Linked DNA regions of Oryctolagus cuniculus. The protein of the gene in region 3 interacts with the protein of the main gene of each other region in a biochemical or structural test. Links are inferred from orthologs where the notes say so. Each region holds a gene or a part of one and is shown on either strand. Other genes may lie near its edges. The genes, in order: granzyme B, BIRC2, CASP3, PARP1, HCLS1, GSN and PANX1.

Evidence for each region.
Region 1: of the proteins of CASP3 (region 3) and granzyme B, one has a biochemical effect on the other in vitro, tested with the Homo sapiens proteins (2 studies listed by BioGRID). The link is inferred for Oryctolagus cuniculus from reciprocal best matches to the Homo sapiens genes CASP3 and GZMB.
Region 2: the proteins of CASP3 (region 3) and BIRC2 form a complex in vitro, tested with the Homo sapiens proteins (3 studies listed by BioGRID, with this or other methods). The link is inferred for Oryctolagus cuniculus from reciprocal best matches to the Homo sapiens genes CASP3 and BIRC2.
Region 4: of the proteins of CASP3 (region 3) and PARP1, one has a biochemical effect on the other in vitro, tested with the Homo sapiens proteins (9 studies listed by BioGRID and IntAct). The link is inferred for Oryctolagus cuniculus from reciprocal best matches to the Homo sapiens genes CASP3 and PARP1.
Region 5: of the proteins of CASP3 (region 3) and HCLS1, one has a biochemical effect on the other in vitro, tested with the Homo sapiens proteins (2 studies listed by BioGRID). The link is inferred for Oryctolagus cuniculus from reciprocal best matches to the Homo sapiens genes CASP3 and HCLS1.
Region 6: of the proteins of CASP3 (region 3) and GSN, one has a biochemical effect on the other in vitro, tested with the Homo sapiens proteins (2 studies listed by BioGRID). The link is inferred for Oryctolagus cuniculus from reciprocal best matches to the Homo sapiens genes CASP3 and GSN.
Region 7: of the proteins of CASP3 (region 3) and PANX1, one has a biochemical effect on the other in vitro, tested with the Homo sapiens proteins (2 studies listed by IntAct). The link is inferred for Oryctolagus cuniculus from reciprocal best matches to the Homo sapiens genes CASP3 and PANX1.

Annotation. Positions count from the first base shown.
Region 1 is NC_091443.1:50,647,812-50,651,820, reverse strand, and holds the start of granzyme B, read right to left. Parts: upstream 2,801-4,009; 5' UTR 2,799-2,800; coding exon 2,633-2,798; intron 1,552-2,632; coding exon 1,404-1,551; intron 924-1,403; coding exon 788-923; intron 588-787; coding exon 330-587; intron 1-329. UniProt on the Homo sapiens protein: Abundant protease in the cytosolic granules of cytotoxic T-cells and NK-cells which activates caspase-independent pyroptosis when delivered into the target cell through the immunological synapse. It cleaves after Asp.
Region 2 is NC_091432.1:94,082,147-94,085,646, reverse strand, and holds part of BIRC2 (baculoviral IAP repeat-containing protein 2), read right to left. Parts: intron 3,459-3,500; coding exon 3,380-3,458; intron 2,720-3,379; coding exon 2,671-2,719; intron 1-2,670. UniProt on the Homo sapiens protein: Multi-functional protein which regulates not only caspases and apoptosis, but also modulates inflammatory signaling and immunity, mitogenic kinase signaling, and cell proliferation, as well as cell invasion and metastasis.
Region 3 is NC_091433.1:66,406,520-66,410,019, forward strand, and holds part of CASP3 (caspase-3), read right to left. Parts: intron 1,203-3,500; coding exon 1,078-1,202; intron 1-1,077. UniProt on the Homo sapiens protein: Thiol protease that acts as a major effector caspase involved in the execution phase of apoptosis. Following cleavage and activation by initiator caspases (CASP8, CASP9 and/or CASP10), mediates execution of apoptosis by catalyzing cleavage of many proteins.
Region 4 is NC_091444.1:39,045,832-39,049,331, reverse strand, and holds part of PARP1 (poly [ADP-ribose] polymerase 1), read right to left. Parts: intron 3,060-3,500; coding exon 2,912-3,059; intron 1,560-2,911; coding exon 1,419-1,559; intron 887-1,418; coding exon 647-886; intron 353-646; coding exon 284-352; intron 82-283; coding exon 1-81. UniProt on the Homo sapiens protein: Poly-ADP-ribosyltransferase that mediates poly-ADP-ribosylation of proteins and plays a key role in DNA repair.
Region 5 is NC_091435.1:77,952,740-77,956,876, reverse strand, and holds the start of HCLS1 (hematopoietic lineage cell-specific protein), read left to right. Parts: upstream 1-1,337; 5' UTR 1,338-1,474; intron 1,475-4,137. UniProt on the Homo sapiens protein: Substrate of the antigen receptor-coupled tyrosine kinase. Plays a role in antigen receptor signaling for both clonal expansion and deletion in lymphoid cells. May also be involved in the regulation of gene expression.
Region 6 is NC_091432.1:225,292,520-225,296,718, reverse strand, and holds the start of GSN (gelsolin), read right to left. Parts: upstream 2,801-4,199; 5' UTR 2,760-2,800; coding exon 2,631-2,759; intron 2,581-2,630; exon of another isoform or gene 2,534-2,580; coding exon of another isoform or gene 2,510-2,533; intron 1,207-2,509; coding exon 1,002-1,206; intron 220-1,001; coding exon 65-219; intron 1-64. UniProt on the Homo sapiens protein: Calcium-regulated, actin-modulating protein that binds to the plus (or barbed) ends of actin monomers or filaments, preventing monomer exchange (end-blocking or capping).
Region 7 is NC_091432.1:85,311,893-85,315,992, reverse strand, and holds the start of PANX1 (pannexin-1), read right to left. Parts: upstream 2,801-4,100; 5' UTR 2,298-2,800; coding exon 2,117-2,297; intron 1-2,116. UniProt on the Homo sapiens protein: Ion channel involved in a variety of physiological functions such as blood pressure regulation, apoptotic cell clearance and oogenesis.

The DNA.
Region 1 (4,009 bases), on a different chromosome or scaffold from region 3:
TCCTTCAGGGAGTTCCAGGCCACTATTTAAAGACCTGAAGGCAGACCAGGGGGCCGAGATCCTGTGGTGGGTGGCGGCTCTGAGGAAGCCCCCCTGTTACAATTTCTGCACATTTAGAAATGTGCAAACCCATCCTTCCAGAGGAGCAGCAATCAACAGACTCCCCTTTGTAGCTGCTGAGGTCTTTGTTACTTGGCAGCTATGGCTGCTCCCCTCTAAGCTTCTGCTGGTAGGTGAGGGAGCCCCCCACTGATTGGGTCTCCAGGTTCCAAATCTTCCCCCAAACATCTCCCTCCCTAGAGGCAAACCAGGTGACTGCTCAATCTCACCTTAAAGGAAGATTTTTTGGTCTTTGGGTCCCCCACGCACATCTCAATGTCTTTTTGATACATTTCAAAGAGGGATTCGCATTGCTGGTCCTCCTGCACTGCCAGCTTCACCTCCTGAAGTGTGTCTGAGTATCTGCCATTTGGGTTGATACAACCCCAGCCGGCCACTTGGCACACCTGCCCTGGCTTCACCCGGGCTTTGCCTGTGGGCAGGCTGATGGGCTGCACAGCTGCAGTCCGCTTGGCCTTTCTCTCCAGCTGTTGAGAAGAGGCAAGATAGTCCATCTCAGCCAGTGGCCATCTGGACCTGGATACCATGATGGGGCTGCCCCGTCTTCCCTCTTTGAAGCACTGGAACAGGCCAAGTGGCCAGGATGGAACGGAGGGAAGGAGCAGCCTCACAGTGGGAGGCACAACGACCAGACCAAGGTGAAAAAAAGCAGCAGGGAGTGCCCTACCTGCAGTAACATGATGTCTCTAGAGATGTCCTCGGGGTTGTAGTCCTTGTGGGGGATGGCTCTTCTCACGGGGATGACCTGCTGCGTCCTCTCCTGCTGCTTGATGTTGTGGGCCCCCAGGGTGACATTTATTGAGCTGCACAGGGAGCAGAGTGGGGATGGGGAGGCGTGGACGCACAGGGGAGACAGCCCAGGAGCTGTGAGGACCAGCTGACAACTGGGGCAGGGTAGGGCTGCAGGTGAGGGGGAATCCAGGAAACCAGGGGCCCCTGGGGCTGAGCTGTCTGTGCCCTCCGCTTCTCAACAGTGGAGGTGGAATGTTGTAGCTGTTGGTTCTCAGGGGTCACTTACTCACAGGAAAACACACGGGGTTTCTTCATTTTGCATTCTGATGCCAAAGCAAGCTCCTAGCTCTCAGTACGGCAGAGTTGATCCCTCTGCTCTTCCCCACTTGAGCAAGGCCTCTGGCACCAACCTGCCTTTTGCCACAAGACTCTCCTGTCCTCTTTCTCACCCTCTTAGGAGCCCCCTGCACACGTGTTCCTGCGAGCCCTGGGAGTCTCTGTGCAGCTTTTCCTGGTTTGGGGTGGGGAGTGGGCTGTGTGCTGTTCCTCACCTTCCGTGGCAGTGAGCAGCTGTCAGCACAAAGTCCTCTCGTACCAGGAAACCTCCGCATGTCCTCTTCATACCATCTTTCCAGTACTGAAGATAGGCCATGTAGGGGCGGGAGTGAGGTTTGGCCTCATGTCCCCCGATGATCTCCCCTGCAGGAAAAGTCTGCCTGCTCATGTGCACCCAGGGGGGGCGGGCATTTTCTTGATGGCTCCAATACTGCTGGGCATCTGGGAGCCTGGAATGACATTGAGGTGAGAGGGGCATTGGGGAAGGACCCTCATCCTCCTTCTCTGAAGAGGGGAAGGAAAAGAGTTCTTGGTCTATGAATCTTTCTTGAATACTTCATCGGAGGTGAGCATACCTGTCTTAGGGACAGTGACACCCAGAGGTGCCTCCTGGTTCCTCTCCAGCTCTTTGTTTCCAGTGAGCTTCTGAGACCCTGATGCATCCTGTGATGTCTAGGATGGTTGTGCTTTCTCAGGCCAGGAGCTGAATTTAGGGACCTAGACATTGTTACAGCCTGTCTCCTAAGGCCTGACATCAGTAAGTGCTCACTGGCTGCGTGGAGCAGTGGCCCGTGTTAACCTGTCGATGAGGGCTAGGAGGGCAGTGCCGGTAGGATTCTGGGAAGCAGAGAAGTTCGGGTCTTCCACAGTGGCTCAACCCTGCAAGGAGGGGAGCCACCACAGGCCTGGGAAGAAAACAGAGCTGGAGACAGGGACTGAGGAAAGGCTAAAGTGCCTGTGGCATCCTGTCCCCAGCCAGCCACTTGGCACACCTGCCCTGGCTTCACCTGGGCCTTGCCCCTGGGCAGGCTGAGTTCTTAGGGCAATGATTACGACTCTGGGGTCAGCTGACCTTGGGCGTCTCTGCTAAGCAGATGGGGAAGGGAGCAGCTGTCTCATCCCAGACTCAGAAGCTAGGTCCTCTCTACCTTCTTCAGGAGAATTAATGTTTTCTCTTTTCCCATCTGTCATGCATTTCTAGGAAAGTCTTGCTTTCCAGTCAGTGGGGAGGGGTGTAGAGGAGGAAATAGCAGCTCCTGGCCCTTGTTGAGAACAGCCTTCTGGCTGACCGTTACCCAGCCTCGTACCTGGAGTTCTGTATGGCACTGGAGTGGGGCTTCAGAATGCTGCTGGTAGAAGACGTGTCAGGTTGTGAGGAGGGGGCAGGGGGTCTGTGCCTACCGTGGAGTGGGGTCAGGCCTCTGAGGCGGGGGTGGGCACTCACCTGCCTCTGCCCAGGGGGGCAGGAAGAAGGCCAACAGGAGCAGAAGTGGCTGCATCTTCCCAGGAAAGACTGCGCAGCTTGGAGCTGCTGATGCTTCCTCCTTACTCTCTTTTAGTTCCCGGGGTGGGGGCGGAGAGAGGAGACAGGGTGGGCTCAGTGACCTCATGTTTTCCGGTACTTCTTTGTGGATAGCTTTCTATGAAAGCGCCCCACCCCCACTGCCTGAGCCTGATGACGTCTTCTAGGAGGTTGTGTGAGAATCGTGCAGTGACCGCATCGGTACCCACAGCTGCTGACTCACAGCGAACCACCACCTGTCCCAGCCCAGAGCAGGAACCCCAGGGTACAAGTGAGGACTGTGGGAGGCCCCAGACACCTGAGTCCATCAGGACAATTCCTTCAGCAGATGAATGTTTGGGTCCTTCTTTTGTGTTAGGACCGAGCATGTTGGAGGTATGTCTCCTCCCTTCCACAGAGAGCTGGTCATCTGGTGGAAGAGACAGAAACACCAATGACTGGAATAGAGTTTTGCAAGGCCAACAGAGTGATACACAAGGCAGAGATAAACCATGGTCACCATCTACTGAGCCCACCTAGTGACCCATTCATTGTGGCAGTGTCTTTACTGAGAGATTTTTAAACATCATGCTTAATTACAAATGCCCCTCTCCCCTCCCCACCTTTTTTTTTAAAACAAAAGTCCTGCAGTTGGTGTGGATTGACCCAAATGAACAAATTACTGTGATTCTAGGAATTAAATCCATTGATTTCATAAGCCTAGGTCATTCCTACATCTTAGGTTAGTTTGGGGCCAGTCTCACAGACTACATGAACTGGTAGAAAGAGACGGTTCCCCAAAGGATGCTCAGGTTCCTAAATCACTGATGCCATGTCAAGTCAGAAAGCATGCTAGACAAAGGTCAGCCATTGTCTTTTTAGGGTTCTCAGTCTTCTGTGCAGAGGGTCACACTTACAGCATAGGCCCAGCACATGTTCAGTTCACCGTAAATGTTTGCTAAACAAACTATGCTGATGTTCTCACTACACTGAAAGTGGGACGTTGTGTCTAGGTAGACCAGGACCACTTCTGTGATAGCAACAACCGAGTATCTCTAAATGGTTGGATTCTGAAGGCTCAAGTTTCTGTTTTTGCATTAATTTAATTCTAGGTATTTTGTTATTTTTAGGTGCTCTCATAAATGGAGCTATTTTCTTAATTTCCTTTTTGGATTGTTCATTGCTGGTGTATAGAAACATAAGTGATCTATCCTATAATTTGTCAGATTCATTTTTATTTATTTATTTTTTAAGATTTTATTTATCTGAGAGTAGAGTTATAGACAGAGAGAGGGAGAGAGAGAAAGGTCTTCCATCTGC
Region 2 (3,500 bases), on a different chromosome or scaffold from region 3:
TACACTTTTTAAAAATATCAGTTCCCAAGATACATCTTAGACCTACTTATTAACAAACTCTTTAGGGATAAGGCTTAGGAATCTTTAAATTTTTTAAATTCCCCAAATGATTCTGATGGATAATCATTTTTGAAAACCAGCAACATGTACAAACTTAGAATTTATAAATTGTCTCCAGCTAGGAAGACAGGGGAAATAAAAATGACTTCATGGAAAAGGTAACACTGGAGCTTGGATTTGAAGCCTGGACAGGGCCTAGTTGGGTGGATAGCTGAGACAGAGAAAATAAAAATGGGAAGTACAGAAAATGGAAGAGTATTACACCTGTAACATATCTAAATGTGCAGTGAAAACTATGGTTAAACAACCATAGTTTTAGATGGAGACATGTGCTCTCCAAAGTAAAAACTAATTCAAGAAACTCAGAGCCTGGAGGGCATTTTAAATAAGAATGGTCAGGGAAGCATTTTCTGATAACAGCATCAAAGCTAGCCTATATGGCAGTTTTGTGAAAACTGTGGACCTAATTCTTCAAGACACTTTAGTGCCATCTGCTGGAAAGTTGTTATAACAAACATTAATAAAAAACAACATGAGTGCTATGTGCGACACTGCCAAGACATTATGTGGACTCCCTGTCTGAAGAGAACACTCAGTGGGGCCAGAATTGTGGTATAGCGAGTAAAGCTGCAGCCTGTGAGCCAGCATCCATGTGGGTGCTGGTTAGAGTTCCAGCAACTCCACTTCCAATCCAGCTCCCTGCTAATTCACCTGGGAAAAGCAACGGAGGATGACTCAAGTTCATGAGCCCCTCTACCGACTTGTGAGACCTGGAAGAAGCTCTAGGCTCCTAGCTTCAGCCAGTTGCAGCCATCTGAGGAGTGAACCAGCAGATGGAAGATCTGTCTCTTCCTCTTCTTTTTTTTTTTTTTGACAGGCAAAGTTAGACAGTGAGAGAGAGAGACAGAGAGAAAGGTCTTCCTTCTGTTGGTTCACCCCCCAAAATGGTTGCTACGGCCGGCACACTGCGCCGATCTGTAGCCAGGAGCCGGGTGCTTCCTCCAGGTCTCCCATGTGGGTGCAGGGCCCAAGCACCTGGGCCATCCTCCACTGCACTCCCGGGCCACAGCAGAGAGCTGGACTGGAAGAGGAGCAACTGGGACAGAACCCAGAGTACCAGCGCTGCACGCGGAGGATTAGCCTAGTGAGCCACAGTGCCGGCCTCTTCCTCTCTGTAACTCTCAAATAAAAATAAAATCTTTAAAAAAAGAAGAGAGAGGAAGAGAACACCCAGAGATTTAAAACAGTAATAAAGAGTAAGCTGTGGAAATATATGAGACGTCTTGCAGGCAAGAGAATAACAAGTATAAAAGCCATAAAACAAGGGAAAACCTTCACGTGTTCAAGGAAGAGAAGGAAGGTGGTAGAAGGACGGAAGGGAGGACAACGTCCAGATGGAGAGCTTTACAAAGTGTTCATATTTTATTCTAAGTTTGCTAGAATAGTCTAGGAGGCTTTTAACATAGCTCTGATAAAATGTGACTTGTATTTTCAAAAGATAACTCTAGCAGCTCTGTGGAAATGGACTTTAAATCAGGTAAAAGTGGCATCCGGGAAACCTATTACTATGACAAAAGATGATGGCAATCTGAATACGGTGATAGTGGTGATGGTGAGAAATAGTGAGAGGGATGTGTTATGAAGGCAGAAAAAAAAAATTGCTCATATACAGACTAAAGAAAGGAGAGGAATCTGAGATGATGCATCTTTTTTATCTTAGCAAATGAGTATCATTAACTGAAATGGAGAAGCCCAAGGAGAAGCAAACTTGAGGAATAAAGGATTAGGAGAAAATTTTGTTTTGGTCCTATTAACTCAGAATTCTATCATAGCCAAAGACAGAATTAAACAGAGAGCTGGACATTCCAGCCTGGGTCTTGGGAAATGAAGAAATAAATTTGCAATGACCACTGAAGTTTGAAAAAGGAGCAGTGAGCAAAGGAAAATGGGAGAATACCAATTGTCTGGGGGCATCTGAGAAGCTAAAGAAGGAGTCCTAAAAAGGACAAAGAACTCAACTGTATCTGCAGTTTCACAATATGCATTTTCTATGATAGTTTAAGACTTCTGTAAGCAAAGGTTTCCATTTTTCTTTTGCGGTAAAATTATCTCTTAATTACATTTTCCAGAAACTTTGTGAGCCACCCTCAAATGTACATTCTGAACATCAACTAATAGACCAATAGGCTAAAACTAAATTCTAATCAAAAGAGATTATTGAAATACTATATACCTGACCTAAATATCTAATATATAAGCCACTTCTTAAATCATGTGAACCAGGCTTTTTCCAAACCATGCTGGCTCACAGCAACCTTTTCCTCTTTAGGAGGGCTTATTATTTTCAATTCTTATTGACATTGCTTTGAGCTATTTGTTTTTCTTTTGCATCTGTCTTTTCTCCCCTGTTGAGATGTCAGCACTAAACTATATAAACTTTCTAGAATCCCCAAAATACCATTAATCTTTGTATGTACCTAAGGTTTACCAGTTAACTTCCCAGTATTTTTCTCTGTAACTTCAGAATCTCTTTTTTTAAGAATATATTTTCATTCCTCACATTATTATATACATTCCCATTCTACACTAATAATAATATTTCACACTTACTTGGTGGATCAGCATTTTCTTCTCCAGGGGGGTCTGAAGTTGACAACAACTATAAAACAAGAAAAGCTAATAGGTAAAATCAGAAATCTCAATCTGAAAAGAGGAACACTAAGTTTACCCTAAGTAATTGTACATACTCGAAACTGGGTAATTTATACACTTCACTTTGCTTTGTTTTATCCTAACTATAGGACAGGTTTCCTTAAACTTACCCTACTTCCAAACTAGAATTCAGGTATTATCTTCCATTTCAACAAAGTAGGAAAATATATAAATGGTTTCTTACTCCATTTGAATGGGTTACTCTCAAGAGGTCTCAATTGCTAATAAGTTAATTTCTGTAAAAGGATGAAAGATCCTTCTCCAACCCTACCATAAATGTGTACAGTGACAAGATATTTTTTTCAAAAGAATCTTTTTTGAAAGCCCTCACCAAATACATTGGATACAAAAGTAAAAATTAAAGTATTTTGATACAGCAAGTTAAGCCACCATCTGCAATGCTGGCATCTGATATGAGCACCGATTTGAGTCCTGGCTGCCCCATTTCTAATCCAGCTCCCTGCTAATACATGGGAAAGCAGAAAATGGCCCAAGTGGTTGGGCCTCTGCCACCCACACATAAGTTCCTGGTTCTTGGCTTTGGCCTGGCTGTCAAATTATCATACAGTAGAATCCAATATTGTTAACTTTTAAAAAGTATATTTACCTGTTCAAGAAGATGAGGAAATCTAGCTTGAATCTCATCAACAAACTCCTGCCCTTTCATGCGTATCAAGAATTCACACCTAAAACATAAGATGAAAAATATTGTTTCAACTTTTATTTAT
Region 3 (3,500 bases):
GTGCTTTAAGAAGAGGTTCTCCGGGGTAAGGTGCAAAGTTCTACAGCAGGAAGGCTTTGTGACTGGCAATATGAAGCAGAATGTAAGTACATTTTTTTTAAAAAACAGAGCAAAAAGAAAGTTTTGTCTTTTATTTAATAATTGAAGTTGATAGCATACAACCCAAAGCAATAAAAATGGTGCTGTTGGATTTGGAGACCAAATTTCACCTGCTCTTCAGCACCAAACCCTATCTTTCCAGTGTAGTCTGGCTTGTCACTTTTTTTTTTTTATCACTCTCATAAATTTTTTCCTAAATTAGATTCACTACATGTAGTTGGTCTAACTTAAAAATTAATTCTAAGTTGGTTAATAAGACAATTTGAGGAATTATCACAGCATCAATTTAAAACATGAAAAACAGGGAAACAGCCAAAATGCTCTTCTCTGTGGTAAGTTATTCACTTATAGTATATATTTATAGTATATAGTATAATACTATACTATTAGTATAGTTATGTTTAGGGGATGTGGTATTCTGTAACTATTAAAATAACATATGGGGCTGGTGTTGTGGCGCAGTGGGTTAAGCTACCACCTGTGACACTGGCGTTCCATGTGAGCACCAGTTCGAGTCCCAGATGCTCCACTTCTGATTTGGTTCTCTGCTAATGCACTTGGGAAGGCAGCAGAAGATGGACAGTGCTTGAGCCCTTACCACACATGAGGGAGACCTGGAGGTAATTCCAGGCTCCTGTCTTTTGCCACCATTTAGGGAGTGAACCAGTGGATGAAAGATTCTTTCTCTCTCTCTCTGTCACACTTTCAAATGAATACATAAATCTTAAAAAAAAAATAAAAATTACACAGCAACATTAAAAAAAACTTGTATTACATTAAGTGTAACAACCAGGGTACATTGCTTGCTTGTTATGAATAAAATCATGGTTTTCAGAAAAACTGTCAAGAAAAAATATTAAGTAATACATCAAAATGCTAATTGGCTTTTTGGGACTCTGAGGAATTTTATTTTCTATATTCTCTAACAACATTCTAAAATGTACTATTAGGGGACTAAAAATTATATAAGATACATACCAGTGTTTTTATGAAAGTTCTTGTTGTTAATGATTATGCATAAACCCATTTCAGGATAATCCATTTTGTAACTATTGTCCAAGGATATTCCAGAGTCCATTGATTTGCTTCCATGTATGATTTTTCTGTTTGGAAATGAAACAACAGTTTACACAGGTGGAAATGCCCGATCCTTCTGTTCACATTAGTACAGCTTTCATAACTCAGAAGAACAGCTAACACTTGTTGCATATTACAAATCACATTTTGTGTTGCAGGCTTTTCCTCACCTACATTTCACAACAACCCATTTTACAGATGAGGAAATTACCTGCTGTGAGGCTAAGCAGTGTGCACGAGGCTGTGCGGAGACTGTGTCGCAGTCTGCAGAAAAGGAACCATCACTGGACTTCAGAGTTCAGGCTTTTCGTATGTTTTATGTTCCCTTTAAATTTTAACAAAATGGTACCAAGCACATTCTATAATTTAAAAAATTTCTTGAAACTTTGCCAAATATTTTATCCTTCAAGAGTAAAATCTTTTTTTTTTTTTTGACAGGCAGAGTGGACAGTGAGAGAGACAGACAGAGAGAAAGGTCTTCCTTTTCCGTTGGTTCACCCTCCAATGGCCGCCGCGGCCGGCGCACCACACTGATCTGAAGCCAGGAGCCAGGTGCTTCTCCTGGTCTCCCATGGGGTGCAGGGCCCAAGCACTTGGGCCATCCTCCACTGCACTCCCTGGCCACAGCAGAGAGCTGACCTGGAAGAGGGGCAACCGGGACAGAATCCAGTGCTCCGACCAGGACTAGAACCCGGTGTGCTGGTGCCGCAGGCAGAGGATTAGCTATTGAGCTATGGCGCCGGACTCAAGAGTAAAATCTTAAGTTACCTTGAAATGACAGAAACCAACAAATTGTAAATATGACTCAAAGCACAATTATTATAATTCCTCAGTTATTTCTTAGACACTATGAGCTGAACAAATTAGTATCTTATTAATACACAGAATTTACTAACACATAGGAGCCCTAACGTAACATTCTTGTCTGGAAGTCACTATGCTGAAAAACCTCTGCTACCTGGACCAGGAATGAATAAACTTTTTCTTAAAGGGCCAAACAGTTGGTGTTTGCGATGTGGGCCGTCAGGTCTCTGCTGTGCCTACTCAGTAGCTGCAGAAATCCGCCAGGAGAGTATGAGAGGGCACAGATGTAGTTATGTCCCAAGAAAACTGACAGAAACACACCCCAAGGATATTCCAGAGTCCTAGCCACTGATCTGCACCAAGAATCAGGAAACAGCAGGCCTGGGAAGAGCCAGACTCATGCACTGAATCTTAAGACTAGTTCACACTACACTCGTCCCCCCTCATCCAAGCTTCTGCCTTTTTGTGGTTAACCATGGTCAACCATCTTCTGAACATTTTAGATGGAAAATTCCAGAAATAACTTATAATGTTTAAGCAAGTTTTATTAAGGTACATTGTTATAACTGTTCTGTTTTCTCGACAGCTGTTCATCTCTAGCTGTGCTTCATTAATAACCTATACTTTATCAGAGGTGCTTAGGCAGAGGGAAAGACACAGGACACACAGGGTCTGGTACCATCTGCACTTTCAGATTCTCTGTGGGTTTTGGAACATATCCTACAGAGATGGGGCTGCTGTATGCATAGTTCTAAACATGTTGTTGGAAAAAGGTTAAAAGCAGTAAAAATTTACTATCAGTCAGGTAGAGATGAACAGCCCTGAATATGAAAACTCTGAAAGCCCAGTGATTTGACCCTCAGGTCATGCAGAGAATGGATCACTGAATTATTAACGCCCATCTCCTGAGGTCGGGACTCTACCAGTAGCAGACTCAAAGGGCCTGGGAATGTGCAGGCGGCTTACCATAGCATCAGAACAACGCAAAACTGTCAGCGGTCCTATGCACTTGCCATTTAAATGATGTCATGACATGAAAAACAGGAAGAGTGTGGATCACTTTAAAAAGATTTAATGACAACTAGATAAGAAAAACGCTTTAAAATGGGACTGCATTTCAAAAGTTCAAGTTCTACCTTTGCTAAACAAACATTGCTGCATCTTTAAACTAATTAATGGAACTGCTATAATGCTATTGTTTAGCATTACTAAACAAGTTTATAATTTCCAGGGTGGTACAGAATACTACTACTGGAGGCCGGCACCACAGCTCACTAGGCTAATCCTCCACCTAGCGGCGCCGGCACACCGGGTTCTAGTACAGGTCGGGGCACCGGATTCTGTCCCGGTTGCCCCTCTTCCAGGCCAGCTCTCTGCTGAGGCCAGGGAGTGCAGTGGAGGATGGCCCAAGTGCTTGGGCCCTGCACCCCATGGGAGACCAGGAGAAGCACCTGGCTCCTGCCATCGGATCAGCGCGGTGTGCCAGCCACAGCGTGCCGGCCGCGGCGGCCATTGGAGGG
Region 4 (3,500 bases), on a different chromosome or scaffold from region 3:
CCTTAACGATGTCCACCAGGCCAAGGGTGGCGCTGAACACCTTCCCGCCTTTCTCCAGGACGTGTGCCGAGTGCTCCAGACCTGCCCCGGGGGAAAGCTCCTAGTTTTCTCTTGTCCTCTCGTCCCTGGGGGCCAGTGCTCTCAGGGAGAGGGGGTCTGCTGGTCTAGGGGTTTATGCCTGGTTGGACACATGAACAACATCTTTGCGAGGTGCCTCAAGAGACGCCCGTATCCTCAGGTCCGAGGCCCCACCTCCCCTCTGCTCACATCCCTGTCTGCTTACCAGAATCAGGATCGACGGCTGCACCTCCTTTGAGAGTTAATTTCATCCTCTTTTCAGATTTGTTCATACCTTGGAGTGGGACACAGAAATGTGAACATTTTTCTAAAGGCAGAAGACAACTGAGTAGCTTTCATGCACACGGCCTGCCAGCAAGGCATTAATGTACTGCCTCCCACCACCTCGAGAGCCGGCTGCCCTGGCCCAGTGAGAACTGATTTCAGAAAGCGGTGCAGGAAACACAGGGAGGCTCCATGTAAGCCAACCTAGCTGGCCTGGGATAGGCCCCTGAACTGGGGTAGGCCAGGGCAGGGCTGTGGACCCTCTTGGCTCCCGGCCCAGAAAGGGGCAGCTGGAGGCCCTCACCTTCCTCCACTGGTCCCTTGCTCTTCTTGGCGACAGCAGCCCCTGACTTTGGTTTTGGGGCCACTGCTTCAACAGGCTCTGCCTTCACCTCGGCCCCCCAGGGGGATAAGATGTGCGCTGAGAGCAACTCCTGCAGGCTCTTGGCGGAGCTGGAGACATCCTGGAGGAAGTCCTCAGCCACGACGCGGACGTTGGCTTCTCTGACTTCCTCCATTTTCTTATTCATCTTTTCCACTTCCTCTGTTCAAATTGAAAGGGGGTGAGTGCGTGTGTGCATGCAAAACTACACAGAAAGTTTAAAACTTCAAACAGGGGTAAACTCCCGGGGACTTGCAACCCTCATCATTCACTGTCCCCCTTCCCCCCACATCCATGAGCCAGGGCACCTGTCTCCAAACCGGCCCTCCCCCCCCCACATCCATGAGCCAGGGCACCTGTCTCCAAACCGGCCTATGGAACGAGAGATCGACAGGCACGCACTCCAGAGGGAAAATGACCCTGACATGAAACACCGATGTGAAGGCTGAGCACTGTTTCCCTGGCCCTGGGGACCAGCAGTGGGCACCTCACAGGGTGGCGACAGAGCAACCCTGTGCCTCCCAAACACACTGAGCCGCAAACTCTTGCTGTGGCAGCATGCGGAACACTGGCTTCCCTTCACAAGGGGCCTGACCAAGGGTGAGACGCATCTTTCCTCCATGAACGCCCCTCACGATTCCAAGGCACAGCCGCGCCATCCCCACCCCTGCCTGACAAGCAAGATGAGACTCACTCTGGGTGCTGATGCACAGCGAGGCCTTGCTGGCTGTCCCCGTCACCTTCCCCCCGAGTTTCTCGACGGCGGCCTTCACTTCGTCCTTGTTCCGGGACAGTTTCCCAAGGGTCAGGATCTTCATGTTGGACAGTGGCTTATCTGGGGAGGGAGAGGAGCATCATGAAGCATGGCCAACCCTGGCACTGCTCCCCAGGATGTGGTGGACGAGGAGCAGAACATGAAGCAGCGAGCTCCCAGGGCAAAGCCAGGGCAGACTGCAGTGTCCCTGATGGCCCCGGCACCCCTCTTTCACCCGCTTCTCCTTCAGGAAAAGGCTGTGAACATAGAGGCAAAGGACAAGCAGGGAAGCAGAGCACAGAACAGCGTCCTGCTGCCCAATGACCTACACATGACCCTTGACACAGGCAGGACCGGGCAAGGGTGGACTATGAGAGGCCATTCTATGAACAGGGCAGCTGTGGGCCGCCCTGGGTCTGCTCCACAGACTCGGAAGGCTGCAACACGGGCCACGGGACCAGGAGGCTGCAGCGGAGGGGGAGAAGGGCAGGTCACATGAACTTCCAAACCCTTCTGCTCTCCTCCTCCCACTTCATGTCTCCAAACAAACTGCAGTTCTTATTAAAAAGCAGCAGCCTTGCATTTGCAGTGCCCAGCGCCGGCCAAGCTGGAAAGCCTAGGATGGAAAGTGCCTTCTGCCTGCTCTAAATAATGTAGTGCTGGTGACATTTTCAGACCCGGAGGAGCTGCAGGGAGAAGTCCCACCTGCTCATTCTGGGAAGGCCGAGTCATTTAAAGGAAAACTGGCAAAGTCTCCAGAGAACAAAACCAGTGGGTTGGGTGTGAACTGGCAAGTGAGAGGAAAGCTGAGGAGGGACACCTGCATTTGGATCCAGGGTAACCATGCATGTGCCCTGCAGTGACCACAGGTGCCCTCCAGGGGGCAGGAAGGAGGCCTCTAAGGGGTTCATGCTCAGGGACGGAACCTTGTCCTCCACCCACCAAACTGTGGCCTTCACCTTACACTGTCCACGTGTCTCCAAGTAAAGGAGCAGAGGGTCTCCTCTGCCCGAACACTCGCTGATAGGGTTGTGCTTGCTGCTTAGGGTGCTCCTCCCTGGCCCTGCACATAACACAGACCCAAGCGTCTCACCAGGCACACCTGGTGGGGGCAGAGCGGTTGAGCCTCGGGAAAGCAGGAGCCCTGCAAGGAGGCTCTGTGTGGTCAGGCAGGACATCCTGAATGCCACTCCAGGTTAGGCTGCTGGCTGGTCTGTCCTAAGAAGCCCTGCCTAGCTTCCAGAGTAAGAAAGCATTTGTCCTTAATGCCTGCTCCCTGGGTTCCGCCCTCCAGATGCGTCAGGGCAAGGGAAGAGCCCTAACCCAGGCAGGTGGGGCTTCCCAGAGGACAGGCAGAGACCCCAGGCGGCTGCTCTCAGGTCACTGTAGAATCAGGGCTCAGAGGTCGGGGCGCCCAGCCCCTGGAGGTGTACCTGCTGGAGCGGAGGGAGTCACAGAAGCGGGGGCCGAGGCTGTGGAGGGAGGGGGTGCCGCTGCTGCCGGGGCGCTGCTCTCTGGGGGGAATATGCGGTCCTGCTTTTTGATCTTCAATTTCTTGAGGTAAGAGATTTCCCGGAATTCCTGAAGAATTTAAGTTTTAGTTTTTAAGAAACTAGTTCCCTCTATAAACGACCACCTAACAGGCCAAAAGAGATCTGGCTGGTGCAAATTCAAAGATCTCTTTTTCTAATAAAGAATGTAGAATAGGAAAATGGGAGGCTTCTAGGATGAAGGATGGCAGTTCTGCCACCATGGTACTTATGGCCAGTATTTCCATTTTATGATCAAATTGGCACTGCAGCTATGTTAAAAGAAGAGTCTTTTCCTTTAAGAAAATGAAAAACAAAATGACAGTTGATGATCTGGCCAGGGAACCACTGCTGGAGCCTATAACCACCTCCCCGGCCCCACTCATTTATTTTTTCCACGAGAGGGAGGCGAGTCTCTTATTCGGTGGTTTGTTCCCCAACTGTCCGCAACAGCTGGAGCTAGGCCAGGCCACAGGCAGGAACTGGGAACTCT
Region 5 (4,137 bases), on a different chromosome or scaffold from region 3:
TCAATCCCTCATTCGGAATGAACTTGGAATATTTGCTAAGAAGAGGTGGAGTTTCTTGGTGTCATCTCTGATAATTTCCATGGTTTCTCTAGCAAATTATGTACCTGGATGATGTCAGTATCTGGTCTGATAATTCCTATTTTTATCATTTTAGATTCCAAATGATCTGAAAGATTTTTTTCTCCTCCTACAAATTTATTCTCCTTTAGCATAACTTTGGTGCCACCATGATAAATAGATAATGAACTAGAAGAGATAGGTCCTTACTCTAACTTTTGATAGATCCATACTTAGGTCTTTAGATTTGGAAGTGACCTTTGACCAATTTTATCCAGTCCTGCTTGAACCCCTTGTGGATCTCATGACTTACACAAGCAAATCAGTTCCAAACTCTGCAGACATGATTAGGTGAGGCTAGATCAGATACAACAAGAAACACCCAAATTCTTGGTAGCTGAAACCAAAGACTATTTTTTAGTTAAAGGCTCCAAGTCCCTTATGTGATAGATGGGGCTGTACTCGTGTTGTCATTGTCGCTCAGGAAACTTAGGCTAGCAGAGAAGCTACACTGGAGAATTACAAGTTGTTTCAGTGTGCAGTAAGCGAAAGAGATGGCAAAGCTTGCAATGGGCTTCAGGTCTCCACCAAAAAGGGGGTATTTCCCTGGCCAGTACCTGTCACCTGTGCACATTTGTCGAGGGATGGGAGGACAGCCAGTCTTGACAAATATTAAGACAGGACATGGCCGATACCTTCCATCCACTGATGGCACCTGCTGCTTTCAGAATTCTCCATACTATCTGGAGCCAAATCTTCACCTGTGAGCTCAGATGCCACACTGTCCCCAACATGAACATTTCCTCCTCCACGCCTTGCCCTTTCCCTCCTGACTTGTCCCCTTCTGCCATTCAGGTGAGTGATGTTTATTTGAGCATCTACTATATGCAAACCCTACTTTTGAGTGCTGTGGGTCATGCAGAAGTTGTTCTTAGAGCTTACCCTTCAAAATCCACAGTCACTTTTCCCTTCCAGCCTTTCTTGGTTACCACAGCCCCTCCCAGAAGCTCCGGATGCCTTTACTGTCACAGATGGAACTGACCAGCTATTTAGGTCACAAGTGCTGTTCTCCAGCATTGTCTGATGGGTTTCTGAGTGAAGCTTTCTCTGACTGCTTGATAAAGTCTGAAAGTTGGAGCAACATTCTCCGTGCCGATCCCACAATCCTCAGAAGCTTACAAAAGAAGAGACAGAGAAACATTTAATCCTCTTTTATTTAAGTGGTTAAAGCAGAAGGAACTGACTCCAACTTCAGGAAGTAGCTGTGAGGACAGTGTGGCAGGAAATGACAGAAAACCTGAAGACGGAACTGAAGCAGCAGCTCGGTTTCTCGCTCAGAAGTGGCAGCAACCAGACAGGGAGTGTGGTGTGGACGTGAGGAGCCTGGAGCTTAGAGAAGACACCCTCGCTAGTGAAGGTGGGTACTCTGAGCCATGGGAGAGCTGGGAGCACAGGGTGGGGGTTGAGGAGGAAACCACCTGAGTGTTAGTCCCCAGGGAGGGACTAGGTCACTGCCAGTAGGCGTTTAACCTTTTATGGTCAGAAGGCCTGAGGCTGGGTAGGGGGTGGGGAAGGGTTGTAGAGAACAAGCAGCTGGGGATTGGAACAGAAGGGCTCAAGCCCTGGAAACGTGACTTAGTGGCCATCTGGCCATCTCTAGTCCACCGTGAGGCCTGATGCCAAGTTGGGAGGAGGGGTACAGGCTGTAAAGACCGTGTCTGCCCTTGAAAACACGGTCCGGCAAAGAGACAAAACCCACAGGAAGCAGTTGCTCATGCACACTTGCGCTGAGAACCAGCTGCTGATGGAGGCCTGAGGAAGGCGTGATGGTTGGATTGGGGTATTTCCTGTGCTTATAGGATCATCGAGGCCCAGAATGTCAGAGATGGAGTCGGTTTTCTAGACTAGCTAAGTTAACCCCTACTTTTGCTTTCTGTTGAGGAAGTCAGAGATAATAGGTGGTTTGCCAAATCATTTAAATGAACATTTGTGAACCATCTTGTCTGTTGCTTGGCAAATGAGAACATCCTCTGTGTTGATTCCTTTACCATGGCCCCACAGAGGCTCCAACACAGAGCTGGGCTGCTCACGGGTCTCCTGGCTCCTAGGTCATGTACTGCCATGTCAGCATTGAGCTGAGGTCCTGGATGTGCCCGACCTCCTGGGGCCATGCCTCTCCACATCACCCTCTAGTCTCCTGCCCCCAGAGAGCACCCTTTGCCTTCCCAACTTCTCGTCAGTAGGTCAGTTGTTCTGTGTCAGCAACTCTTTATGCCACAAGTAGACAGACACAGATGGGAAGTTTGTTGGCAAGTCGCGCTGAGGCTGGGAAGAAAGGCAGGAAAGTCGAAGGAGCCATCGGTCCTCATTGCTTCCTTATTGCTCGCGACTATTTCAGAAACTTCTCCTTTCCTATTTTGTAGTGAAGGCCTTTTGTTGCAGAGCAGCCCAGGAGCCAGTGTGGGAAGCAGAGGGCTTGTAAAGGATGCAGGAGGATAGGGCTTGTTTATCTGCCCCCTTTATGTAACTTTGCCCTCCCAGGGAAGACCAAGCCGCTCTGGGCAGTGGCTCACCCCGTGGTAAGGCCGCCTCGGTCAATACTTCCCCAGTGCCCCTGGAGCATCTCAGTAACCAAAATCTACCAGAGACTTCCCCGGGGCTGGTTTTCAGGGTTGTTCAAAGACTATGGAAAAGGATGGACTTTTCAAGTAGAAGAGAAAACTAGAGAATGCAAGGGCCAAGGTGGAGAGACAGGAGAGCCCCAGGAGGGGTGGCAAATGGGGGTCCTTGCAGGGACCTTGAAGAGCTTGGGGGAAGGGCTCTGGGAAGGGGGACATGGGTAGGGAAGTTTCCAGATAGTAGGCGGTGCCTGAGTCCAGTAGTCTCAGTGGCCCTGGGAAACATGAGTGGTCCATTGGCACCTTTTCCTACCAAGCCCAGAGCAGCTGTTCTACTGCTTCTCTCGCACAGTTAGCAAGGCTCACTGGTACACTGGGGATGCCCCAACAGAATACGATTTGGAACCCCTTCAGACCAGTACTCCGTAAATTTTTTAAACATTCATTTTGTTGCTAATAATCCAATGCCTCCTAATGGTCAAAATAAAGGATGTATTATTTGTAAAATACATGATATGCTTTGAACCATTTATGTTTTTAGAATTGTAATCAACTTTTTATTTTTTTTTAAAGCCAGTCCATAGAGGGCCTCAGAGCTGCTGCTGTGTTTTGTAAATTTTTATTTTCATCTACTTGAAAGGCAAAGTGACAGAGACAGAGATAAGGTCGGGGTCGGGGAGAGAGAGATCAATTTTCCATCCACTGGTTCACTCTCCAAGTGCACCAGCCAGGTTGAAGCCAGCAGCCCAGAACCTCTTCCAGGTCTCTCACTTGGATGGTAGCATTTGAGCCATCATGTGCTGCCCACTAGGATGTATTAGTAGGAAGCTGGTTTGGAAGCAGAGTAGCGGGACTTGCACTGGCACTCCAGTATGGGATGTGGGTGTTGAACAAGGCTGCTTAAAGCAATACACTGTAACTCCCACCCCTGACAGCTTTTAAAAGTTGGGTAATGAGTAACTTATTCCCAGCAGCTAATGCTTCCCTGCATGTTGTTGGATGTGAGCATTTCAGCTGACTGTCCCCATTGACCTCCCAAGCTGTGCGGTGACCAGTCTCAAGAGAGAACGTGGGGCTGGTGCCGCAGCTCACTAGGCTAATCATCTGCCTTGCGGCGCCGGCACACCGGGTTCTAGTCCCGGTTGGGGCGCCGGATTCTGTCCCGGTTGCCCCTCTTCCAGGCCAGCTCTCTGCTGTGGCCAGGGAGTGCAGTGGAGGATGGCCCAAGTGCTTGGGCCCCGCACCCACATGGGAGACCAGGATAAGTACCTGGCTCCTGCCTTCGGATCAGCGCAGTGCACCGGCCGCAGCGTGCCGGCCGTGGCGGCCATTGGAGGGTGAACCAATGGCAAAGGAAGACCTTTCTCTCTCTCTCTCACTGTCCACTCTGCCTGACCAAAAAAAAAAAAAAAAAAGAGAACGTGGGACAGCACTTGGACTGAGGCTGGAAAAAATCTCAATA
Region 6 (4,199 bases), on a different chromosome or scaffold from region 3:
AGGTGCACCTGAGTGAGCCCTGCTGTCAGCGCACCCATCCCCAGCAAAGTAGGGGCCCACGCACCTTGTACTTGAGGCCGGACTTGAAGTAGCCAAGGAAGGTGGCCGACTCGAAGCCCTGGGTCTCACGGTGCTGCACAGCCCGGCCGTTCAGGTAGTCATCCAGCTGCACGGTGAAGATGGCGGCCGCCCCACTCTCGTCCTGGCTGCACTCGTTGCCTAGGCGACGCAGGGCAGCATGAGCCAGGCTTCCTGAAAGGGGTCCCGGCACCCCCCATCCCACCCAGGGAGGAAGCTCCAGCACTGCCCTGGGCTAGCTGGGAAAGCCCAGCAAGCCCCTGCCTCTTGTGAGCCTCGGTTAACCCCTCCATATAATGGGTACAGGGGAGGGAGGAAGTGTACCTGGACCCCATTTTTCTCTAAGGGTCATCCTAGCTCTGATACATTGCTCTGCACTCCTGTTCAGCTCTCCTGAGCACGAACTCAAGTATGGATTAGGAAACTGAGGCTCGGCCAGGTGACAGGGCTCAAAGCACCCCACAGCAGAGCCCCTGACTCTGAAGGACAAACTTGGGGGTGACGGGAGCCACGGAGGGGTCTGCTTGATGATAATCAGGGGCGAGCTTTTGGCACAGCAATTAAGATGCCAGTTGGGAGGCCCACACGCCATAGCAGAGTGCTGAGTTCAAGTCCTGGCTCTGCTTCTGGCTCTAGCTTCCTGCTACCGTGCACCCTGGGAGGCAGCAGTGATGCCTCGGGTACTCGGGGGCCTATCAACCATGTGGGAGACCCGGATGGAGTTCCGTGCTCCTGGCTGCAGCCTGGCCCAGTCCCAGCCGTTGTGGACATCTGGAGAATGAACCAACTGATAGACAAGCTCTTTGTCTGTCTCTGGGTGTCTCTCTCTGCCTTCCACATTAAGTAAAAAGCAGCAAGCTCCAGACCACAGCCAGCTGCCCTGCCAGGGGCTGGGCAGGGGCTGGATGGGTGGGCAGCCTCACCCAGCCAGTAGTGGAGGTCGTACTGCAGGTTCCCATTGCGTAGCTGCACCGTCTTCAGGATGACGTAGGCATCGCCCATGAAGAAGTCTCCATAGAGGTTGGGCGGCACAGGCACCAGGTCGAACTTCTCCACGCGCCAGATCTGCAGGCCAGGCTGCTTCCCTGCCTTGAGGAACTCGGGGTGTTCCACCACCATGCTGCTGGGCTGGAGAGAGACAGGCAGTGCCTGAGCAGGGGCCCGCGGCTCGGCTCGGCAGGGACAGACCCCGGGCGCGAGGGAGGCTGGTTCCAGCACCAAGAGCGTCCGACTTGAGCCACTGCTCTTTCCACACCCGAGGGGAGTCTGCCTCCTAGGAGCCTCTGTCCTGGTGAGCTAGCGAACAGGGCCAGTGGTTCGGCTCCAGACCCTGTGCCTTGCAAGCTCCTGGCCCTCCCACTCAGCTCCCGGGGGACAGGACAGAGGGATCTACCTCCCTCTCCCTCCCCTTGGTACTGTCACTGGCCATGTTAACTGAGGTGCAGGCAGGAGCAGGGACTGTGACAGGGACCCCAAGCCAGGTGACAGCAGAGCAAGGACTTCTCCACGCTCCGGGCTGTTGGGTAGCCCCCCGCCCCAAATGGCAATGGTAAACCCAAGGGTCCCCAGGGGCTTAGCTTGCTCCCTTCCAGCACCCTCCACGGCTCTTAAGATTAAAGGGCTCTCAGAGTGCTCCTTATCCACCCCTACTGTGCAAATAGGCACACAGAGGCCCAAAGAGGGGAGGGGACAGCTCAACGTCTGCAGCCTGTGTGCCTCTGTCCCACGTGGGACAATTTCCTGTGCCCCCTCCATCCCCTTCACACCCCCCAGGAAGGGTCTGAACGGCTGAGCCCAAGTGGCCTCCTGCGCTGTCTGCCTCCTCCCTCCTGCCCCCCAACACCCCACCCCCAAATTCCATTTTTTGACATCCCCCCGGGGGTCTGCAGGAGCCTGCTGAAGGCGAGGTACCCAAGGAAGGGCAGAGGCTGTGAGACATGCAGGGTGGGGAGGGGGGGCTAGAGACGGCGGCCGGCGGGGTTAGGCAGGAGCTGGGGGTGGCAGTCAGCAGGCATGGGTCACCTCGGCCGGGGAGATCTGGGGGCAACAAAACGTGAGAAGTGAGAGGAATGAGACAGAGAGAGGCACTCAGGCAGGGGGTGGAACAGCACTGGGAGAGGAGAAACTCAACAGAGCAAGGGAGACTGCAGGGAGGTGAGAACCTGTGATGGTCCAAAGGACACATAAGACAGAGGGAGATGCCGGGGAGGGCGGGAGCCATCAGAGGAGGGGGAGATGGAAGAAGACAGGCAGTGGGAAGGAGACCTTAGGCAAGGAAAGGAGAAATCAGGTGGCAGAGATGGGTAAGAAATCAGAAGGTGGGAGGGAGGAGAATTCCGGCCAAGGTGAGGTTAGCCTTCGCGTAGGGACGCAGCCAGGGCCCCCAGGCTCCCGCCCTCCGCCGAGCCCTGGAGCAGCAAGAGATACTTACAAAGCAACAAAACAGTTTTTCCATTCTAGACCTGAATTACTCCCCTTTTCCTAGCGCTGTATCTGCAAGAACTTACAATAGAGAGTTACTCCGGGAGCCCCGGGCCCCCCGGGGCACTCACCCGCGCCTGGGGCGTCCGTGCCGGAGCCACCCTCTGCGATGCGGTGGCCGCGAGGGCCGGCGGCGACAGGGCGCACAGCGCCAGGACCAGCGCGCCGAGCAGCGCGCGCGCGGAGCGGTGCGGAGCCATGGCGGCGGCGACAGCAGAGGACCCGCAGCCCCGGCCCTGGGATCGCAGCCCTTAAGTAGCCGCCCGCCCATCCCGCCCAAGCCCGGACCGCCCCGCAGGGAGGGCGCGGGGCAGGGCTGGGCCCCCAGCGGGCCCCCGGGGCGGGGATCTGTCAGGGATCTTGGAGACATCTGGGTTCCCACTGAATCCGACCCGACTGGGCGCGGCCGCCCCTGCACCCCAGCTGCGGGGCGGAAACTTAGCACAGAGCTTGGCATACAGCAGATGCTAACTAAGTGCATGCTAAATGGGCACACCAAGGAATTGTGGGGAGCACAGCTCAGTCTTTTTCTCCCGAGTGACCTCAGCAAGCCCTCTTCCTGCTCTGCTCCTGGTATTTCCAGCAGAAAGCTGACATCGAAGGAACACATAGCAAACCGACACACCAGGACATCCTTTACAGAGTGTGTGCTGCTGACAGCCCATTTCATAGAGGGGCAGACTGAGAGTGCAGTGGGTAAGCAACTTGCTTACAAGCAGTGCTGTCACAATGTGACTGGGTCTGGGGCTGGGTAGAACCAGTCCCGGGCAGCCTGCCAGGGCCACCAGCTGGGGCAGCCGTGCCAGGAGAGGCAGGCAGGGCTCAGAGAGGGGCGGGCCAGACTCTGAAGCCCTGGGATTGCTGGTTCTACTTTACTCAAGGTGGCCTTTCTTTCCTGCTTTTCAAAAACATTTTTGTTTTTTTAAATAAACGTTGAAACATTTTTGTTTTTTTCTTCTGAGCAAAACATAAGGTCCCAACTTTGTACAACGCTGCCCCTCCCCAGGGGCACCGGCCTCCCCATCTGCCTCCTAAGCAGGCAGGGCTCGCCTTCTCGTGTCCAGATAACAGGCCCTCATGCTTCTAGAAGGGTTTTATCCATTTTAGGCACCCTCTACGGAGCCCTCCTGGGGAAGCCAGGATTGTGTCTCTTCTCCCCTTCCCCTCACCGCTAGAGGCATGGTCACTGGGTTAGGACACACATACACACCACTGGAGGCATGGTCACTGGGTTAGGACACACACACACACACACACACACACACACACTCATACTAGAGGCACACTGGCTTAGGAGAAGCACCCTTCCGGCTCCCCTTGGTGTATTTCCCAGTTCCCCCCATCCCACTCCCCACCCCTCGGCCAGACCCACCTGCTCCCAATCTAAGTGTTCTTTGCATTCCAAATAGTCCCCTCCCTCCTGCAACCTGGTGCGGTGACAGGAAACAGAAAGAGACGGTTGGAGACCTGGGATGGGTACCCACCTCCGCTGTACCTAAGTTTCTTTCTTTCTGCAGGTCTCGTCTACTAAATGCGCATAAATGGGGACCAAGGATTAAATCGGCCTGGATGGCCTGGCTGCGAGGCTGGTGGGAGCTCCTCTCCCTGCACCGCACACACAGCCCGGTCACCCACCCCGG
Region 7 (4,100 bases), on a different chromosome or scaffold from region 3:
TTTTCCTTCCAGCTGGAAGACTCAACCTCCTGCCATCTGGAAAGCAAAAGAGAAACCCTGCTGACCACACCTGCCCAAAGATCAGCAGAACTGAAACTTTATTTTCCACAATGAATTTGGCCACTTCCTGACAAAAGGAACAACAGTACTGCACACCATAAGGTCAAATTCATCATCACCCTTTTTTTTCTTTTAAAGATTTATTTATTTATTCAAAAGTCAGAGTTACACAAAGAGAGGAGAACCAGAGAGAGAGAGAGAGAGAGAGAGAGAGAGAGGACTTTCATCCGATGGTTCACTCCCCAGATGGCCGCAACAGCTGGAGCTGCGCCGATCTGAAGCCAGGAGCCAGGAACCTCCTCCAGGTCCCCCACGCAGGTTCAGGGGTCAAAGGACTTGGGCCATCTTCTACTGCTATCCCAGGCCACAGCAGAGAGCTGGATCAGAAGAGGAGCAGCCGGGACTAGAACTGGCCCATACGGGATGCCAGCGCTTCAGACCAGGGTGTTAACCCGTTGCACCACAGCGCCGGCCCCCATCATCACCCTTTTCTAACCAAAGCTTCCTTCAATGCCACTATTTCCATCAACACAATCATCATCCTCCAATCAATCAAGCCTACAACCTTCGCAACAAGTTTAACCAGTTTCTGCCCATGATGGGCCTATTAAAATCCAGGCAGCCTGGGCAGGCGTTTAAGACACTGCTTGGGACGCCAGCATCCTATACCTAAACCGCATCCTGCTGTGAGTCCTGCCTCTGCTTTTGATTCAACTTCTGAGTAAAGCATACCCTGGGAAGCAGTGATGATGGCTCAAGTACTTGGGTCCCTGCCATGCACATGGGAGACTTGGATTGAGTTCTGGGTTCCGGGCTTTGGCCTGGACCAGCCCCAGCTATTGCGGGCATTTCGGGGAATGAACCGGCAGGTGGAAGATCTCTTTCTCCCTGTCTCCCTGCCTTTCAAATAAATGGAAAAAATAAAAACTCAGGTACCCAAGTGCTTCTTATTGTTCCTTGATCTGTCAGAAATCACCATCCCTTCCCATCACTCTTTGCACCACCATGTACAAGACCTCAATGGATTCCCACCCCATGGCCTCCAGGTCCCCTCGCTCCATCCTCTCCGCTGCTTCCCATGCAGACCCTGCTTGCCACAACCAGGCTATTGACTACTGACTGCTGCTTTCTACCAGTCTGTCTGTTCAAATCACTTCACCTGCCTGAGTCCATCAGGGCTCACTCTTGTGTCCTAACTCATCCAGGAACCTTTACTAACCTTCCTGCCTCGGCTAGGACAGCCACTGTGTCTCCCCTTACAGGAACGTGAATGCCCTCAGCCATCTCAAAATCTCAGCCAAGGTTTCACCTGTGCTCCTGCAACTCCCGCCCACCCTCTGACATAGCCCTCCCCAAGGTCCAGGGCCCCTGGTCTCCCCCACTACAGAACAGACTTCAGCACTTTCCCGTTGAGTCATTAACACTCTCTCCTGCGCCCTAAGTCTCAACAGCTGTTGAGGAACAGGAGCCACTTAGCCACGTGACCCTTCCCAAACCACCAGGGTTGCCAATCTGGTACTATGATGCAATCTAAACGTACATGAGGGGGACCTGCACATCTCGTATTCATAATACTGCTGTCCAAAGGCAGCCGCTTTCTGTCACTCCACAGTTCAAGTCTCAGGGAGTATCAATGAAATGTAAGGGAGTGAGGGAGGCCACGAGTTTCATGGAGCACCTGTCGTCACCACCTCTGCCTCTCTGCCTTCAGCTACCCAGTAACTTCTCTGGCACAAAATTTTAGGTGACTTTACAAACACGGGGACTGGGGTGGGGAAGTAAAAACGTGGGGGGGAGACGCTGGTTCTTGGCAAATCTGGTGGTAAATCCGTCAAGCAAACGGAACACGAACTATTAAGCCACAGTCTGATCATTCAGGCGCAGGGAACAAAAGAACTGAGGAGTGAGGGATGTGAGCATGGTTGACAAGGGTTCAAACCGCTTCGGACCCCAAATCTGGGCGAGTCCCAGGCCTGCGCCCCCGGAAAATCCCACCTCCCCGGAGCCCGCAGCTCGCAATAAGGCTGGCCCAGCCCCTCCGGCCCCCATATCTTACCGATGGAGATCTCCTGGGCGAAGGCCAGAGAAATGAGCAACAGTGGCAGCCCCACGGCGATGCAGGTGACCATCTTGTCCACGGCCAGCTCGAGCCGCAGCCCCTTGAACTTGGGCTCGGCGGGCTCCTTCAGCAAGAAGTCCGAGAACACGTATTCCGTGGCCAGGTGGGCGATGGCCATGGCTGCGGGGCGCGGGGCTCAGCCGGGCAGGACCGGGTGCCGCCGGCGTCGGGAGGGCGGCGCGGCGCCTTCACGCTGTCACCGGCCGGGCGCGCGGGTTTCGCTTTCCCTTCGCCGTGCGCCCCGCAGCTGCTCCCTCATCCTTGCCGCCTTTTGCGTCTAGGGCCGTCGGGCCCCCAGCGGCCTCCACTCGGCTCCCAACGCGCGGGCGCACGAGCTCTCCAGCTCCTGCCTGGAACGCCGGCCAAGCTCGACCCAGGCGCTTGGGGCCCAGCGGCTCCGCCCCGCGCGCTCAGCCCCGGCAGATCCCCCGGGGACGCCCCAAACCCGGGCTCCACGCCTCCGCTGCGAGCCCGTAGGCGCCAGCAACAACCAGGAACAAAGCGCTTCCCTGTGCCCAGTCCCCTGCGCGCGCCCCCGGCCGCTGCACGCCGTCCCAGCCCTCCGCGCTCTTCCGGAACCACCGGGGAAACCGAGTAGCAAGGGGCGTGGAGTTTCCGGAAGCGGCGCTGACGCGGGGCGGGGTGCACCCGCGCCCCTCGTGCCCGCCCAAGGAAAGAGCTTCCCAGCCAGGGGCATCTATGGGAATTTGCGGGGCCGTTGCATCCTCGTTTCCCTCCCATCCCCCCAGGGCCCGGGATTTTTAAAACCGTCTCTGTAAATGGCCTTTCCCCTGTGGACTCTTCTTGCGGCCCACGCACAACGTGTCTACACCGAGAGATCGGGTTAACAGGAGCTAAGAAGTTTCAAAGAACGGGTGCCTCGCAAGGCCGTTCGGGCCGCGCAGACCTTTCTCGGAGCTCCGCGGAGAGCGCTGCGCGTGCTGGGGTCTTGGGCCTCCATTAGCGCTGCGTGGCCCCCCGCGTCCCTTTCTCCTGCCTCTCCAGTCAGCCTTGCTCTGGAGCTGGTCGTGGGGTGCCTGCTGCGGGGGAGCCGCAGAGGGCAGCCCCTACACCTCTCCTAGGAAGCGGAGGATGAGAAAGGCAGGAGGAAATGCTCCCAACAGCAACCCCTGGAGCAGGCAGGACCTTCAAACGTGAGGGCTGCCTGCGGCCGGGCTTGGCTGGCGTCTCTGCTCTTTGCAAGCGCCAGGCCATGAGGAAGCCTCAGCTCATGGCCCCGGATCATCCTCTACACAGACAGCCAGGGGTCTGCATAACTCTCCACTCCGATGGAGCGTCCTGTGGGACTCCAAACTCCCAATGGCCGAGGTGTCACTCCTCATCTTCCCCTTCAACTTGAACTCTACTTCCCCATCTCACTGAAGGCACCACAACCCCCACTCCCCAACCCCAGCCCAGGCGCTCAAGCCAGAGTCCTAGAGCTGTGGTTAACATTTCCACCGCTCCCAGCCGCCAGACCTGTGCCCACATTCTCCTGCTTCCCCGTCTGACAGCCAGCAAATCTGACAGCACTGCCAACACCCGGATTCAGCTCCCCGTCCTGTCCCCTAAGCCCACTCAGAAACGTCCTCCCAGGGCCCCCCAAGCTGCTCTGTCCCACGGCTACGGGGAGAGAGTTTTTAAAAGCTCCAGTCTAGTCATCATACTCCGTACTTAAAGTGTACATCGCTTTTAGAATAAAACCCATATTTATTAACATGGCCACTGCTGACCTTGACACCATCCCTGCTAACCCCCTTCAGTTCCTCAGATCAGCCAGGCCCTTTCCCCTGCCCAAAACACCCCACAGTGGCCTGTGCCTGACCAACTCTCATTGACTCTCCTGTCATTGACTCTATGTCACTCTGCCAGGGAAACCTTGGAGTAGACAAACTAGGTTAGGTCCCTTTGTTAAATATGC